Linked DNA regions of Drosophila melanogaster. The protein of the gene in region 2 interacts with the protein of the main gene of each other region in a biochemical or structural test. Each region holds a gene or a part of one and is shown on either strand. Other genes may lie near its edges. The genes, in order: tgo and ss.

Evidence for each region.
Region 1: the proteins of ss (region 2) and tgo form a complex in vitro, tested with the Drosophila melanogaster proteins (one study listed by BioGRID).

What each region holds. Positions count from the first base shown.
Region 1 is NT_033777.3:9,016,151-9,021,915, forward strand, and holds tgo (tango), read right to left. Parts: upstream 3,873-5,765; 5' UTR 3,727-3,872; intron 3,585-3,726; 5' UTR 3,533-3,584; coding exon 1,604-3,532; 3' UTR 623-1,603; downstream 1-622. Other genes in the region: CG11986 (uncharacterized protein), read left to right, coding at 1-118, 185-571; neur (neuralized), read right to left, coding at 5,643-5,765. UniProt on the Drosophila melanogaster protein: Heterodimers of tgo/trh are involved in the control of breathless expression. Plays a role in the cellular or tissue response to oxygen deprivation.
Region 2 is NT_033777.3:16,400,592-16,405,719, forward strand, and holds the start of ss (spineless), read right to left. Parts: upstream 3,100-5,128; 5' UTR 2,827-3,099; exon of another isoform or gene 2,805-2,826; intron 1,754-2,804; 5' UTR 1,305-1,753; coding exon 1,249-1,304; intron 1-1,248.

The DNA.
Region 1 (5,765 bases), 7.4 Mb from region 2:
GGATGAAAGTGGCGACAAGATGTACAGCTACAGTATTATCACCTTCCAGTCCAGCAAAATTATGTCCTGGATGCACTACCGCATGCCAGCGATCCTGGAAACCGAGCAGCAGATGAATGTGAGTAAAGCATTTGTTAATCCTTCGTTAATCCAGGTCCAATTTACCCATCCTCGCATATTCTAGGATTGGCTGGACTTTAAGCGAGTTAGCGACAAGGAGGCCTTGGCTACATTGCGTCCGGCTACCGAACTGCAGTGGCATCGTGTTACCAAGCTGGTAAACAACTCGCGAAACAAAAGCGAGGAGTGCAACAAGCCGATCGAATTGGCGGCTAAGCCCGCAAAGCCACCGATGAACAAAACGATGATGTCTTGGCTGAATGCCCGTAAGAAGCGGGAAGATCAAATCAAAGCAAAACAGAGCGACGATGAGGATCAGGAAAAAGAAGCTACGACCATGGGAGGGACCTCCGCTGACGGCTCACCCGTAGAGAGGCCCGCCAAGCGACCCAGATTCAGGGACTTTAAGAGGAATCGTACGGCAGCTCCCCCGCAGAGCAGCGGCAGCTAGATGAAATCGGGCAAAAGATAAACCTCATCAGTAACTAAAGTTCCATAGTTTGTAGTACATTAAGTTTATTTTCAGTAAAAACCAAAATTTTTATTCTCAATAACCAAAGTTTTAAGCATTATCATCGTTGTGGTGAGCTTACTTACAAATGTTGGGACTTAGCGACTAAAAAGTTGTTTAGAATTTGTTCTCTCGAAGTGAGGTTAACTAACTAATGTTATGTTTGAACTTGACGTAATTAATTAAATGGTCTCATTTCTGCGAGTGCGATTCAATTTTGAGCGCCACTGTATTGAGCTTGGAAGTTTTTGTTGTCGCGGCATAAAATGCAATTAAAACAAAATGAAAAGCTGCACATAAAGCATGTAAAGTGTACATATCGACCGTATATTGTTTGCTCGTCTACGTCTGATTGCCTTGGCGAAAAATGAGCGAAAATTAATGGGAAATGGTGTCAATGTTGTTCGCGGGAAAAGCGTGGAAGTGGTACACTTGCTGAGTTGCTTACAACTATCAATTTGTGGTATATTAGGCTACGAATTGTTTAATTATTTATATATTTATACGTTGTATGAACTTTAAAATGCTCAATGACAAATACAAATGAATACTCTGCACACAGCGTGTCCACATATGAACTTAATCCTATATAATCGATGAGAAAGTTTAGAATTCATGGGCTATATAGCGGTGTAAACACATTGCCTTTAGTTACGAACAATCGTAAGGCCTTAATTGTAAATACTTTTGCACGGCCAATGAGCGGGTTAAGTGGAGGCGGTGGCGGGCGGGCTAATGGATACGGGAGGTGGAAGTGAAGAAGACGTAGCACACAAAAATAAAGATATCTGAATCGTGTACGTGACTACCCCTATGTACTTAAAATGCTATTTACGAGATTACAATTTGCATGCGTTTGGCTGAATTATTTCAACAATGTAAGATGGATTGCACTTGAGAAGTGGTTAAGAGAGACACAGATTAAGTTGCGGGACGGGGGAAGAGTGGGAATCGAAAGAAATGGTGTGGGTATTACTCGAACGGCGTGCTGAACATATTGATATTCAGATCCTCAAACGTGGTCGGCGTGTGATCCAACATCTGCAGCATATCTGAGAACTCCTGACCCTGTGGCTGTCCTGCTCCTGCTGGTCCACCGGGATGAGCGTGCGGATGGTGCGGATGCGCCGTTGGGTGCGGCGGATGCGGGTGTCCTCCAGCCTGCTGCCAGTCCCACATTCCCGGCGCATTGGGTGGCGGTGGTGGTCCCGCCTGATATGCTCCTGGCTGCGCTTGCTGGCGATTTCCGTTTCCGGCACTCAATTGTGTATAGGTTGGACCGCTCGGCGACCTGGCCGGACTCGTCTGCTGATACTGATAGCCTTCGGTCACGGGCTGCTGCTGCTGTTGTTGCTGCTGGGGACGCAGTGCTGCCCAGGAGTTGGGTGCCACCGGCGTGGGTGAGGTGCCAGACTTGGGTATCTTAGCCAACGGTGATGGTCCGCCAGCACTGTACGGCGAGTGTGTGGTGTCGTAGGTATATCCGACTGGTGTGGTTTGCGCCGATCCTGGCCGTTGCTGTTGTTGCTGCTGCTGTTGGGGCGTAGGAGCCTGCATGGCCAGCATGTGCGTCTGGTACATGCCATCATTCGTGGCGCTGCCCACTGGAGTTAACTCGCGGCGCGCATAGTCCACTCCTGGGGCAGCCTGAACATAAACGTGTTGCTCCTGCTGCTGTTGTTGTTGCACTTGCTCGGGCGTATGAGCAGCCGCCGCATCCAGGGGAGCACCGTGCATGGTCTTCCCAGAACTGTTGGTGCACACTATATATTCCACTTCGTCGGTATATGGATTCAGAAAGGCATAGGCCTGTGTGCGGAGCCAAACGTACTCCGAATTCTTAGCTCTGGCTCTGTACAAAAGCGAGAACATCTGTCCCTTTTGCTTGAGCACCTGGTCAAAGCTCTCCTTCATGTGGCTCTGGTCCTCGGGATGAAAGAAATCGTAGCAGATCTTCCCCAGCAGCTCAGTAGGAGTATATCCCAATATGTTAAGGACACGCTGATCCACAAACGTGAACTTGCCATCCATCGCATGACGTGTGATGAACTCACTCTGATTGTTCGATCCACTCATATCGTTGGCTGCCGTGGAGGTGACCTGCAGACGGCCGATGGCCACCAGGCAGCAGTGCGAGCTCATGTCGTCCACATCGCGCTCCATGTGCATGTTGGGGAACATATCGGTGGGCGGCCAGTTTTTGATATAACCCGTGCAGTGAACCACGGCGTAGTTGGTGCCATCCCTTGAAGGTCCGAGGGAGTTTCGTTGCTTGAGACGATTCAAGTGCCCCGAGACCATGGACTCCGGGTTTACATTGCCCACCCGCATGCGACAGATGAAACCACGACGAGCACCCATGCTCAAACGCATGCTGGACTGGTGACCCTCCTTTTTCACAGTTCCCGACTTTAGATCCAGGATGCGGCCGGCATTCTGCGATTCCTGGGTTGATAATTGCTCGCGGATCTTCTCGCGATCATCGGGATGAATGTGCTCATACAGGCTAGTGCCATACCAATCGCTTTGGGTGTAGTTCAGCACGGGAGTCACCGAATCCGATACATAGATCACCCTGCCCGAGTCGCAGGATACCACGAACAGGAAACCATCGGCCGCCTCCAGGATAAGATGCTTAAGCTCCTGGTCGGTCAGGAAGGAGGGCTTGTAAGTGCCATCGCTGCTGGTATTTCCTGTGCCACGCAGTGCCTTCATGTGAGCCACTGCCATGCGGAGAATGGTGAGCTTGTCCGGTTTGCGGGCCAGGGCACTGCAGGTGGGCACCATGTCCGAGAGTTCCGTGATGTAGGCCGTCATCTTGTTGCGGCGACGTCGTTCAATCTCGCAATGGTTCTCGCGGCTGGCGAACCGCTCCTTGTCCTGTATGTTCGCCTCGTCCATGCTTGGAATGCGTAATTAGAAAACGTTCGTCGTAATTTGGGTCGCCTGTGCTCTGTGGAAAAAGGTTCGTGGAATTGAGAGAGGGGCGGGGTAGGGGTAGGGGTTAGTATTTTGTCTACGTCGTGCTTGTGTGTGTACACTTGCTGGCTGGCCAGTAACCTTATTTCCCTCGCTTTTTTTACCCTTCTACTCACCAATGGGGGGTGTACAGAGGTACTTGGTTTATCCAGGCAATTTTATTCGGCTGGTCTTATGCGCTTTTACCATTAATTCTGTACTTTTCTTCTACACTACACGATAAAATCTCTGTTTACTGCGCGAAGTGTGACCGTAGTGTGGACTAACAAATATGCCGATGCAGTGTATAGCAAATCGATAACAATGCGCTAGGTGGCAACACAGGTGCGTTGAATCAAGACCAAGTGGCATTACTATAAAACTAGAACGTTACATTTTAAAATTTTCATCCTAAAAAATAAACACAAATATACAATAAAATTTTAATTTAATATTGACTTTTTTAAGGCCCAGCTATCTGTTGGCTAATTAAGTAAATCAATTTACCGCTTGTCGTGTGGTGAAAATGTTTTTATCTTTCAAAAACATACAAGATCGGCGTCCATTTAAAAAATCGCTTTTCCCAGAAAATAAATAAAACCATCATTGTTTCTGATATTGTTGTCAGTATTTAATGGTATTACAGCATTGCGTTTTCTTACATATATCAAATATAATTTCATAAATACATTTAAATGTTTAGTCATAACTAGGCGCAGTATCGTAATTTTACGAACTATGATTCTTTAAAAAATTAAAAGTTTATTATTAGTGGCAATAACATGTCTTCATTTACTCCTATCCGGATGCATTCTTATAACAAAATAGTAAGCTTGCGCTTTATTCCATTTCGCATATTTCTTTGTGTTCTTTGCTTATTACATTTTTTCAGTTTTAATACAATCTTAGGTAAAGTTTTATCCGCTTTGCTTGTCCTTCATGTTAAATCTGCTTGGTATTGTTAATTAATTATTGGCAATTTTCTAACTGCATGGTTTATTTAGATGGGCATTCCATTTTCCATATTTCATTCAAGCTGTTGGTACAACATACAAGTCTTTTGTTCTATGTTTATAGTTAAATATATTTAAGTCTCCATTAAAATACGTGCACTACTTAAGTGTAATTTAAAATGCGGCTTCATTAAAATAGCTTAGCGTGCTTAATACGTCTTTTTTGTGGTGTCTTTGTTGGATGAAGTCCGGTTTAGATTTAACTTCAGCATAATTCGTTGACTAGAAATTAACTTAAGTACTTAGGGCTAGACTAATATTAACTTTAAACAAACACGCTCTTGCAGTTTTCTATTTTGGTTTACGTGCATAAGTGTTTTCTGATCAATCTTTGTTCATTAATTTGTGCTGCAAACTTATTTGAGTTGCGTCGATATCCATTTCCTTGCTGGAAAGTAGTCAATATTTGCTTCTTGTGATTTCATATCAAATTAAGGTCATTCGTAGTTGCTGCAAGCTTAAACATAACTTTTCAAATCCGTTAACAATTTTATTTTGCCTTTCAAAACATTTAGCACCAAAATGATTAATCGCCAAATAAAGAATCCTTGTAGTTTGTGTTTGTTAATTTTGCACATCGTTTGGAATTTAGACATAGAGAAAAACTAAGTAAATTTGCAACAACTTTCAATTAATTCCAATTTAAATTCAAAATACTATAAACTCCTATACAATACTTTGGTTTTTCAGTATACAACGCACAAATGGGCGATTCAAGGTTTGAAAAAAATTGAAAAAACGAAGATATCTTTGTTGGATTGAACAATACATAGTTTTGGCTCTGGGGCGCACTTACTTATAACATCACAAAAAAATTAAACATACGTGTGATAAATTAGTTGATAGTTTCATACACTAATCTAGCTGCGTAAACTATCTAATCTTTAGTCTGCAAAAATAATGCCTATCTCTCCAATATAATATTCTTTGCGCTCAATTGCGTTTAAAATGCAACAACTTGTGTGTATGGTATAATGTGTAGCTTTAGTAGGTTTGATTGCGAGTAAATGTTGCTTGGCTAGGAAACGCCCGCGACCTTTCTACGTGGTGTAGGTGCGGATGACGTCCCGGATCACCGCCCGGCACAGTGGGCACTGGCCACCACCCACTCCGCGCCACTGCTCGATGGCGCAGTCGTAGCACATGCACATGTGTCCGCACAT
Region 2 (5,128 bases):
TTACGGCGTAGTCGGGAACTTTAATAAAAACGAAATTCAAGGAGAAGGGGAATTAAATTGCACACAAGGAACTTACTCTGAAGTGCACAACGCCTTGTACAAACAAATGTTTCAGTTTAAGTTGGTAAAGTTTTAATAGAAATAATATCATAATAACATATAAAGTTATTATTATCTATAAGGTCTATATCGAAATCTTTTAAAACATCTAATGTAAAATTTTAATACTAAAGCTAAGCGGTTAATAGTAAATATTCCCCGTAGAGTATCTTTGAAATGGAGCTATACTGTTAATAACTGGTTTACTAATCCGACTACAACTAAGTAGACGAACATTACACGCCATATTAGATGAGTTGGATAACCAATCTATCAACTGCGTGCTTATCCTAAATAGATCCTGGTTCTTCGCTTTTCCGAAGATAATCTACGCAGACCTGAGCTGCCCCGTTCTGCACCCTTTCAAGACTGAGGCGCTGAAGCTGATCAGTGGCTCTTGATTATGGGGGTCGCAACATTAGCGATCGGTGGTCTGCACTTGGCGAGGGGGCGTGGCCGGGCTGCAGTTGCCGCTCCTCGCCTTCTGCATATTTAGCAGTGCTGCTCATGATAATGCGTGAGTTCTCATATATTTATATTGAAAACATTATGCTTTGTGCGGTTGCAGCAGCTAAGTACACAAAATTATCAGAAATTATGTGCACCTTGGGACAGGCAGATTCCGATCTCCCCCAGCGAACAGCCGGAGGGGCCGCCGTCATCGTCATCATCATCAGCATGACCGTTCATCATCATCTCCATCAACTGTTTGGCTACTGTAATTTCACGGTAACCTGCCCCGACATGCATAATGCAAATCAATTTGAGGCTATCGGGCGGCAAAGGGGGAATTCACCGCCCTTCATTTCATCCGAGGGCCAAGTCAAAAGTCAATGGCGATGGCAATTTGTCAACAAAGTGGCCACCGGATCATTAATAATCGAATCTGGGGTATTCAAGACCAGTAGCTACGGAGATTGATGGATCGTCAGCGGGTGGCGCCACAAGGTGGCAAGCTGGTAAGTGGTAAGTGCAGCCAATCGCATTGATTGAAATCTTTCAGTAATAACAGAGCACCCAAGAACCCGCTCCACAAACATTCCGCCTCCCGCTGTGCATTTATATCTGAATCTGTATCCGTATCCGTATCTGTATCTTGGGATTCGGATCGGTATTGGTTTGTGGGATTGGACTGGGGCTTGGACTCACCTCTTGCCGTTGCGTCGCCTTCGCTTGGTGGCGTAGACGGTGCCCAGCTGGCTCATTGCTAGGGCGGAGTTCGTTATGGTCGCCGTCGTGAATGATTTTAACTCTTATTATTTTTCGTATCAATATTTCGTTGTTGTCTTCTGCTGCCTTCTGCTCGTCTGTCGTACAGGTTGTTTCCTCGTCGTGGCTTTCTTATTTCGCTTTTTTTCCTTTTGTAATTGGTTTTTATTTATTGATTTGGCTTGCTCTGGGTACACACTCTCACACACACGGACTCGCACACAGACACAGCCAGGAGCTGAGTGCGATCAGATCCGCTGAGATCCTGCTGCGGTTTTCGGTTTCGGAGTTGTAGCCACGCGTAAATTTCGTTTTTTTCTTCTTTGTATTTATTTTTAATTATCATCACGCTTACATTTTGTTTGCTTTTTCATTTCTCGCGCTCCTTTTGTTTTTGTTTTTTATTTTTTTGTGTATATTGCACTGTAGTTTCAGTTGGTTAGAGCTAAATGAGGGATTTAATGCGAAACTGTGATTCAGCAATTGAGAAAGGCTGGGAATTTTGATTTTTTTTTTCATTCGATTGTGGGTTGTATGATTTTCTAAGGCGATAACTTCGGTTCAACCTAATAGATTTTTTAAGTAATTAGTCCCGACGGAGAATGATTTCAGTTTATCTAAAATAAATCCAATTAGTTTAAGTTGGCAATGTCATGGAGCCGTTGTCTAATACGATTTGATTTTGCCTTGCATTGTAGAATAGTATAATATGATATTAAGGCTTTACTTTATTTTGAAAATTATATTTTGGTAAATTTTGAAAATATATTATTCATAAAAAGAATATATTTAAATTTGTTTCAATTTTTTCTCACAAAGGACTAAAAAAGTATAACAGATTATGTTAGCAAGTTATTAAACATCAGAGTCAACCAATAGTGTTGATTAATTTGAATGGCACATTCTAGTCAGAAAACTGTAAAAATCCCTCAATCCTTTTTCAATTGCTTTCAAAAACGAGTTGTTGTTTGTGTTGTTTTGTTTTGATTCGAGTGGCTGCGATTTGCAGGTTATTGTTTTGGTTCTTTCGTGGCAACACTTTTGCTTTTTCACTTGCACTTTTGCCGTTTGTGTTGGTAGTGTTGTTGCTCGTGGGCTCTGGTTTATCAATGGGCGATGTTTGCGATGACGACGCATGCAACAGAGGAAATCAAAATCGGCACGGAACCAAAAGCGCTAACGCAAGAACGGCACGCAAATCATTTTCATTTTGCGGCACGATCGACGTCGACGTAGGCAGATCCGCCGGCAGAGCAACCAGAGGCGAGTTGTCAAAGTGACATTTTTCAGGCACGCACACACACACGCGCGCGTGGGTGTGTTGGAATAGTAAAATAGATAGAAGTGAATGACCGCCGGCGGTCTGCAATTCGCACACGTGACTCCTCGAAGCCTTTACAGAACCTCCAGTTACAGGGTATCGCGTGCTGCGTTTCGCTTTTGTTTCTGTTTTCGCCTCTATTGTTGTTGTATTGCCTTATTCGGGGGACACTCACGCACACACAAACACGCACGCACCTTTTAGCGGGATTCTGGCGACGGCGAAACAACCGTTAGGAGGGAGCAGCGACTGCAACTGCACGCGAGCGCCAGAAGCGAGTGAATGAATGAACAACAGTGCCAAAAAAACGGACAAACGGGCATTTGAAACGAGGCACAAAGGCGATGGAGCGCGCTCTCTCACTCGCACTCGGCGCGGTGCTCTAAGTCGCTATCTCTCACTCGCACTCTTTCAAACGTGACTCTGCTGCGCTGCGGCCACGTAAACGCTTTGAGATTCCAACAAGAACTGAGCGGCGCCACGAAACGAATGGAAAAACCAGTCCTGGCGGAACACACTGGCCATGGAACACGCGGGCGGCGTGTTTGGGGCCACTTCCAGTCGTCCTGGCAACGAGCGATCGCCAAGCGACGCGGTCGCGTGGGAGTGAGACAGAGCGAACGATGTTCCACTACCAACCGTTCCAGCGTCGCCATACGTGCGACTGGAAGGGAGCGACCAACCAAGTCGGTCTTGGAAGTGCTGCAGCTATCTCGTTCGCACCCTGTAGTTTCGTTATAGGGGGCGTGTTCGCACACACATACTACACTGACAGCCTAGTAGCGCCGACTCTTTCCAGCGCACTACCAACTGGAAATAGAAATTCGGGGCACATCGCTCATCTCTTAATTAATTAGGCGGTAATTAAGAGCTATCAGTGTTATCGCTCAATGGCATCTATCCGCCATACTCTTCTCCTATTTCAAACTTATCTGAGCCGGATTTTACCTCGTTTTGCCACTGAAATGCAAATTTTATTTGGTGTGACCAAAACCATTAAGGCCATAAACATGAGCACTCACTTCGCGCTTATCGCGAATGATTTATTCACATGTGCCACCTGACAACCGCAAAAGAACAAGGAGAACGAAATGCACACCGCTGCCCTGCACAAAACCAGAAATCATATTCCTACACCTAGACGGGCAAAATGTCCGTGCCCAAGAACCCGATTGGACAGTGTACGAGGCCCCTTTATCCCATGGCCCATATGCTGCGTCCGTCTTTGACCGCATGTCACAGATGGCGATGGAGATGCACTCGTCAAAGGTACAGTTGGCACTCATAAAGAAGTTTTTAATAAGTAATTGTAATTAACTTTAATAACAATCTATACAAGCTATTCATTTTGTAATTAATATGATTACTGTGATTTACCAAATAATTTTATGTTTATTTTTAAAAGTTGGCGAAATGTTACGTTATGAACTTTTTCCTTTGAAAACGTGTTGCATACTTGGTGGCGCTGGAAAGCCACAATATTCGAGCCCTTTCAATCATGCAGCCCATTGTAGTTCATTTGTGTGGTTTCCTAATTTGATTACTTACGTCCACTCTAATAAAACATTATTATTGTTATCGAATGACCACTGTAGAATGCCTTCAATTTCGAAAAAGCATTTTTCTTTTATTGTGACGTCAGCCATGTACGAAATTGTTGGCACTGTATTTGTATTGCGTGCAACTATTCAATGCCAAGTCAGAAGGCTGAAGAAAACAATATTTCCTCAGCTAGAATCTCCAGCAGTCTGGTGTCTCACTCAAATCTCGCTGCGTAAACTAAGGACAACAGCAGCTCCGAAGACAGCAGGATCAGAAGAATCGGGAGAATCAGAAGAGGATCCACTCCGAAGAATGAGCAAAACAGAAGGCAGCGCATGTCAATCGGTGGCACTAATAAGTGAGCTGAGTCGAGTGGAGTGGAGTGAAGTGTAGCAAAGTGGAAGGGCTTGCAACCAGTTTTGGTGCGTTGCAACTTTTTCCAGCTTGCAGCTTATCAATTTACGCTTCCACTTCGTAAGAGAAGTGCACAGTGCAGGTGCTTATTCCACCTCCCTCTAAATATTCTTATTTTGCACTGCCTTTCCTCTTCTTGCATTATCGCTTTAAAGTACAGTCATCAATTGATCTTTAAAATTGAGGGCCAATATTATGACCTTACACCTAATACTGTAAAAAATAGCAAAATATATATAAGAACTGAATGGATTTTTTAAATGTGCTTAATAATTATTTTCTCATTATTAACTAAAAAAATACATACAAAATATACACAATCCCACTGTATATGATAAATATTTATTCTGGGGTTTCTTTGCTGACTGCTTGCTCGTCCGACAATTTCGCGATGACGTCGTTTCCCCGATGAGGACTTATGAATGTTTTTCGCCGGCATCCTTAATGCGACTTTCTACTCTGGACCCACACTTCGCAATCTACCCCTCGTTTTGCCTAATTTCGTAACAAGTTTCTTATTAACTTGTTTTTGCTCGCTGCCTT